Coturnix japonica: one gene and its partner. The protein of the gene in region 2 interacts with the protein of the main gene of each other region in a pairwise test. Links are inferred from orthologs where the notes say so. Each region holds a gene or a part of one and is shown on either strand. Other genes may lie near its edges. The genes, in order: MPP1 and DNPEP.

Region 1 (2,794 bases), on a different chromosome or scaffold from region 2:
AAGAGGCCCAAAAGTAGGGAATGTTCAGCGTGGCACAGCAAAGCTGCCTGCTCCTTGTCTCCTGTACACCTCTGCAGCTAGTAGGGTCACCCTGGAAGCACAATGCAGGCAGTCCAGACCCAGTTCCAGGAATCTCCCTCATGGAGCTTGAACTGCTTACAGGTCCTGCACCTAGGGGGGATGTGCTCACCGCAGTGCTGCTGGGTGTTGCTCAGCAGCTGTCAGCAGGGTGGAAGAAGGAGAGCACTAAGCAGTTTGCCTGGGTCATGTGAGCTCTGCTAAGTCACATTTTGGCACTGCTGTGTCCCCTCCAGTGAGCAGTTACCTGAGCTGCAGCAGCTTGCTATATATAGTGTGTGCAGCAGCAGGGCTGGCCCTGCCCACTGCGGCAGGAGTTAATGTTCTGGGACTGGAGGCAGTTGTTGATGGGGCACAGATTAGAGGAGAGGGCTGCCATGCTCGCCTTTCTGCCCAGAACCTCCCTACCTGCTCCATCTGGCTTTACTACACTCCACATATTGATGTGTCTCCAACCAGCTTCATGATGCTACGCAGATAGACCTTGTACCAGCTGCTGTCTGTACTGTAAACATTATGAAGCCCCCAGCTACTGGCTTGAGCCAGCCCAGCTTGCAGAGAATGCCTTGGCTGGCTTGGCATCCAGGAGGAGCACGGCTCTGGGGGTCTGCCTTCTCTCCCCTCTTCTCCTGGTGGAGGTGGTATAGCAGAGGCAGAACTGCTCTGTCTCTGGGAAACAGGATGCAGCCAAGAGCTTTGTGCTCTGTGCTGTGTGAGCTAACTGCAGCATTAGTGCTGCTTCATCCTAATTTCGGAGGGATGAGCATCTACAGGAGCTAAAGAATGAAACGCTCTGCTGTTTGTGTGTCCCATTTGCATAGCTGATGGCAGGGTATGTGTTCCTGCTCTGCAGCACTGCTGCAGCTAGAGACAGCCCTTGGTGCTGGGCTGTGCACCCAGCTACATGTTTGGGACTGATTGTGCTCCTCCAGGGATGGTGTTTGCTGGGATCTCCCTACAGTAGAGAGCCTGAGGCTGCAGGAATCCCCAAGTCCTGTTTCTTGGGTCTGGGCTGATATAGTTCCGCTGCTCTCCTGGACCACTGAAACCAGTTTGAACAAGAAGAAGCTGATTCTCTCTACAGAGCTAGGAAGAGAGCCCTGGGCTGCTACAAGGCTTTGTCCCCCGTGGGCTCCTCACCACTCCCTGCCCCATGCTGGACAGCTGCAGCCACCACTGCGCCAACCCACCTCCTCTGCCTTGTCTGTTGGGGCAATGAAGACTATGAATGGGGAGAGTTCTGCCGTGCGGACAATCTTCAGGGTCTGGAGAGAGAGCAGAGTGCAGTCATCAGAACATGGCAAGCTGGCGGGCGGCTGCCCCTACTTCCCCCAGCCAAGATTCACTGGTGCCTGTGGTGCAACAGTGGGCTGAAGGGGCTGTGGACCCCTGAGCTTGGGGGTAGGAAGGCAATGTAAGGGCAACGGTACAGCTTGGGGAAGGGCAGGTGTGTGGGGATGGTCACAGCCCACACAAGGGTTGTCCAGCCTGCAGCAGTCCCCATTCTGCCCACCACTTCCCTGCTTCATACCTGAGGTTCAATGTCTAAAATAGCGACTTTGTCCTGCTGGTGGATCTTGTGCACTGTTTCAAACTTGGTGCCAAACATGTTTCCCTGGTAGCTCCCAAACTCCAGGAACTCATTGGCTGAGATGTCCCGGGTCATCTCCTCAGTGGAAACAAAGTAGTAGTCCTTCCCATCCACCTCATTCTTCTTCTGGGGGCGCGTGGTGTCTGCAGAGGGAGAAAAATGCACGATGCCCTCAGCCAGGTGCTGACCTCCAGGAGGTCAGGGAGCCAAACTGGGGTTTTATGGACCCTTTGTGAGCATGGGGCTAGAGCAAAGAAGAGCACAGAAGACCTATGTACCTCATCAACCCCATTGGAACTCCATCCTAAACAGGACAAGTAGGCAACGTGGCCAGTGTGAGGAGAGTTGCAAGGTGCTGCACTGGGATGGGGACAGGATGTCTGCAATGTGAGCAGCAGCAGCCCAGTCATCTCTGACTAAGTTCAGCACGTGGAGTAGGAGGAAGGAAGACCCTGCAGGGCTTTGTCTGGTGCCCTGTGACACCAAAGCTTCATGGTGCTCAAAGAACATCTCCCCACCTCCCATCCCACCTGGTGACTTGAAGAGGAGGTGAGGAAATGTACAGGGGTAGTGCTGCATGCCCTCACCCGGTTGTGGTTACTTACATGGTGGAGGGTACATAAACTTCTCGGGGTTGTTGCTGAGCAGAGCATTCTTGATGTGGCTGCGACCCACTCCACTGGCCCCTACAGGGAAAGAGGGGTGGACATGAGCTGGGCTGAGGAGTGTCCAAGAGAAGGTGCAACCCTCTGTGGTGTTTTCCAGCCCTGGAGGAGGGTCTCCCTGCCCTAAGTGCACTCACAGGTGCCTGCAGGCTGGGCTGCTTAGACCAGCAACTCCACCAGAAATTGCACCCTCAGCATGGGAGTGCTGGCTTTGGTGCAGCTGCACAGACCATAAAGACATTCAAGAGCAGAAACTCTCCTGAAATTACTCCTCAGCACTAGAGTGCAGGTGCCAGACCACATGCACAGTGCCACGTGGCAGATATCACCCTTCCGGGCAATCGCTGCAGGTAGAAGAAATGCTCCCCAGTGCTTACCAGCTTTCAAAGGGCAGTGCTGTCTCAGCCCTGGTTCCCCACAGCCCCTACCACGTGCAGGACAGGGGCAGGACCTACCTATG
Region 2 (4,254 bases):
CATCCCTCCTGCCCCAGGATTAGGGATGCTGGGGGTGGCTGCTTGTCCTTGAGTGCCATGGGGATGCTGGGGGTGGCTGGCTGACCCCAAAATCCATATGAATGAAGGGCATGGCCCCCTCAATCCATGTGAGTTGTCACCTGTTGATGTGTTGTCACCTTCATCCATGGGGACATTGTGGGGGCACTTGTTATGGCCCAGTGAGGATGCTGGGAGACAGCCACCTCTACGCCCTGTGAGGCTGCCTGCACCCATCAGCCACATCTACTGTGACCCATGGGGATGCAGAGATGTCCATCTGTGTCACAGGCCGTGGGGATGCCCACAGCTGTCCTGGCAGCCCACAGAGATGTGGGATAACTCGCCACCCTCACGGCCCAGAAGGATGCTGTGTTGTCCATCTCCATGGCCTCGATGGCATCACCCATACCAGTGAGATGAGGCAGCTCCCGTCCCACCGCATGGCTGGTGGTTGGCGTAAGGGCGGCCGTGCGCTCAGCCTCCAGCAATGCGCGGCCGCTGACTTCACTTTCCCATGCAGCGACACGTGTCCTGGGGTGGGGGCTCGGCAGCAGTCGGGTGCCATCCCTGCTCTCATCCCGGCAGGGCGGGTGCCTGGGGGGAGAAAGGGGCGGCCCTTCCCGGAGCTTTGCGCATCCATCCTGGCCGCCTGGCCCTTAACCCCTTCCAGCGGGGCTCAGCTCCAGCCGCACGGCCCTATAGCCACGGGAAGGGGCACGGCACCCGTGGGCGCACTCAGGAGCCCCGTGGTGGGACACGAGGGTCCGTGCCGCACTGAGCGCTGCAGGGTGGGGCAGTGATGGGGCGGCAGGTGCAGGGTGAGTCAGGGAGCACCCAGGAATAGCCGCCGGCAGCTTTTCCAGGAAGCCCCTGCGGCTCTGGGAATTAGCAGCCGCGTGCCAAGGCGCTGCCCTTTGCCCACTGCAGCGGGGCCACACCCGGCCCCGCCACTCACCCCGCACCCCCGGCACCCCGATCCCATACTCATCCATTGGGGACTAAGCGAGCACCCCCTGCCCTGGGGGCCCGCAGCTGATCCACATACCCCGAGCCCCCCGAGCCCCCCGGCAGGAGGCTGCAGGCCGTGGATACGGCACGCCCTGTGTTTAGCTGTGATGGCCGCGGTTGGCATGGAGACCCCCCAGCTGTCCTCTGGCTGTGTGCCCGGCAGGGGGGCCCGTTCCTTTTTATTTTATTGAGGGGTAAGGCAGGTGCTGGGCTGGGATTCAGGGCTGCCGGGGTCACGGCAGCCGGACCACCAGTTTCCAGGCCCAGATTCCAGTTTCAATGTGCCACCAAGGTCTCGCTTTGACGGGGGGTCAGAGAGGGGGGAGAGCGGGAGGGGGGGCGGGGCGGTGGCGGCCATGCAGGTACCGGGCGGGCGGCAGCGGAGCACGGGGTTGGGGGGGGGGTTCGGTACCGGGAGGGATGGGGGGGTTCGGGGAGCGGGGCGGCTCCCGGCTGAGCCCGGTGTGGGTGCCCGCAGGCGGTGGGTCCGAAGCAGGCCGTGCAGGCGGCGGCGCAGGAGCTGGTGAGGTTCGTCAACCGCGGCCCGTCCCCGTACCATGGTAAGAGCCCCCCCCGCCGCCCCTCTACCGGCTGTAACTGAGCCAGCCGTCTGACCGGGCCTTCCCCGCAGTGGTGGCCGAGTGCCGCAGCCGCCTGCTGCAGGCCGGCTTCCAGGAGCTGAAGGAGACCGAGCACTGGGACATCCGCCCCTCCTGCAAGGTGGGACCGGGGCTGGGGGGCACGTGGGGAGCGCGGCTGTCACGTCCTGCTCCGTACACCGCCCCCCTTCCTCCTCCCCGCAGTACTTTGTCACCAGGAACTACTCCACGCTCATTGCCTTCGCCGTCGGGGGTCGCTTCCAGCCGGGGAATGGGTTCAGCCTGCTGGGGGCACACACCGACAGCCCCTGCCTCAGGGTGAGACCTTCCCGATGCCTTATTGCTCTGACATCTCCCTGTCCCCCCCTGCAGGGTGCTGACTCCCCGCATTGCTCCACTTTTGCGTTCCCCTCCCTACCAAGCACTTCAAGGCACGCTGGTGGGCTCTGGGCATGCTCTTCCCGGTCCCAATCCCTGGTGTCATCTCTGCATCCATCCAGGTGAAGCGACGCTCCAAGCGAGGGCAGGTGGGCACGGTGCAGGTTGGTGTGGAGACCTATGGAGGAGGCATCTGGAACACATGGTTTGACCGTGACCTCACTGTGGCAGGAAGGGTGATCGTCAAGGTGAGCCCGGCTGGGGGCTGTGGGGTAAAACACGCTGCTGCTCCTGCCACCTCTGAGTCCTGCAGACCTGGCCCAGTGAGGCAGCTTAATGGTCCTGCTGGTATTTCAGGAGCCAAACACAGGGCGACTGGAGCAGCGGCTGGTGTGTGTGGAACGGCCCATTCTCCGCATCCCCCATCTGGCCATCCATCTGCAGCGCAGCATCAATGAGAACTTTGGACCCAACACCGAGCACCACCTGTAAGGCCTGGCTCGATCCTCACAGCTGCAGCGGTGCCCAGCCCCTGTTCTATCCCTCATTGCAGTGGGGTGGACAACAATGGCTTCACTTATAGTGAAGGGCTTGGGGATTAGCACTGGGGTGTCCTAAGGTGGCACAGTAGGTCTGTGCTTTAAGTTTAGAGTGTCCTTGCTCCATTCAGCCAGTCCCCAAGGGGTAAGCAATGGCCTGGCAGCTGCTGACACTGTCTCCCCACAGGGTTCCCATACTGGCTACTGCTGTGCAGGAGGAGCTGGAAAAAGAACCATCCACAGAGCGCACAGCTGGCGTTGCTGCAGCCCAGGTGAGTGGGTTCCTAAGGACAAGGGGGAGGCTCACTAAGGTCTCTCACATGCCATCTTTTGATCTCTAGTCCTCAGAGCTCCCTGCCAGCAAGTTCTCGTCCTTCCCATTCACAGCTACTTGCTCTCAGCTCCACTCAGAACCACTTACACAGCACATGTGCTCCACTGTTGTCTGTTCCCACCCTAGCCTGCATTCATCCTAAAGAAAAGTGGAAATCCCCCATAAAGCTGTCATGTATGGCCCCCCCTTTTCTCTCAGAGGAGGGAGGGGAGGTTGAACAATGGGAGAGAGCCCCTCACTATGCCCTGTGAGCACCACTGCTGCCCTTTGTGGGTTGAGTGCTCAGATGCAGAGTATGTGAGTAGACAGGAAGCCTAGGACTGCAGTGTGAGGAAGGAATGGGAAAGTTTCTCTGCCATCCATCACTTTGCACTGCCCACAGCTCTGCTGTTTTCCCAGACAGAGAGACACAGCCCTGTCCTGCTTTCCCTGCTCTGCTCCCAGCTGGGAGTGAAACCAGAGCAGATTGTGGAGCTGGAATTATGCCTGGCGGATACGCAGCCAGCGGTGAGTACAACAGAGCCTCCTTCTACCTGTATGCAACATGCCTGCAGGCTGGCACTGCCCAGCTCCCATGCACAGCACGCTTCCTCTGCCTGGGGCATGCAGGGCTGGGAGCTGAACCGACTGAAAGGAAATGCCTTCTAGGGGGCAGAGGTGGGGACTGGGCTGGAGACACATCACACCTGCTCTTTGTTGTCCCCAAACCTGTGCCCTACTCCTTGTTCTTTGACTGCAGACTCTTGGTGGTGCCTTTGATGAGTTCATCTTCTCCCCACGTCTGGACAACTTGCACAGCTGCTACTGTGCTCTGCAGGTGAGAGAAGGAAGGAAGGAGCCTTGGGGCTTTGTCATGGCCCTCTTGTGTCTTGACTTAGCTTTGCTGGTCTGTTAGCTGGGTCCTGTTGCAGGGATCCTTGCTCGTCAAAGGGCCTGGGGTTGGACAGTGGCTGCCCCCTTGTGCTGGGTGTGTGGCATTCCTAGCATCTCCAATGTACCCACAGCTCCTTTCCTTGGTGCCTTAGACTTTCCTGGGGATGTTCCAGCCAGTTCAGTGCTGAGCTTCCTAGGATGGGGTGGCACTTACGCTAGTGCTCCTTCTCCTCCTCTGTCTCTCCAGGCACTGATTGACTCGTGCACAGCTCCCTCCCTCTCCCAGGAGCCCAACGTGCGCCTCATTGCACTCTATGACAACGAGGAGGTGAGGGGCATAGCCGTGGGGCAGCTGGCACACACAGGGGCTCTGTGTTCTGTTCTCCTTCCACCAATGATTAGGACTTACATCCCAGCCACCCATGGAGCACCATAGGGTTTGCTCACCCCACCCTGGGCCTGGCAGGGAGTGAGTTGGAAGCCTCTTTGCTGGGTGTGGGGA

The links.
Region 1: the proteins of DNPEP (region 2) and MPP1 interact in binary tests that used the Homo sapiens proteins (3 or more experiments, as listed by UniProt). The two-hybrid records come from large-scale screens. The link is inferred for Coturnix japonica from reciprocal best matches to the Homo sapiens genes DNPEP and MPP1.

Annotation. Positions count from the first base shown.
Region 1 is NC_029519.1:2,078,398-2,081,191, forward strand, and holds part of MPP1 (55 kDa erythrocyte membrane protein), read right to left. Parts: coding exon 2,790-2,794; intron 2,356-2,789; coding exon 2,275-2,355; intron 1,813-2,274; coding exon 1,610-1,812; intron 1,344-1,609; coding exon 1,269-1,343; intron 1-1,268. UniProt on the Homo sapiens protein: Essential regulator of neutrophil polarity. Regulates neutrophil polarization by regulating AKT1 phosphorylation through a mechanism that is independent of PIK3CG activity.
Region 2 is NC_029522.1:24,543,733-24,547,986, reverse strand, and holds the start of DNPEP (aspartyl aminopeptidase), read left to right. Parts: upstream 1-1,363; 5' UTR 1,364-1,385; coding exon 1,386-1,391; intron 1,392-1,507; coding exon 1,508-1,589; intron 1,590-1,660; coding exon 1,661-1,749; intron 1,750-1,832; coding exon 1,833-1,946; intron 1,947-2,128; coding exon 2,129-2,254; intron 2,255-2,363; coding exon 2,364-2,494; intron 2,495-2,732; coding exon 2,733-2,817; intron 2,818-3,278; coding exon 3,279-3,386; intron 3,387-3,618; coding exon 3,619-3,696; intron 3,697-3,999; coding exon 4,000-4,080; intron 4,081-4,254.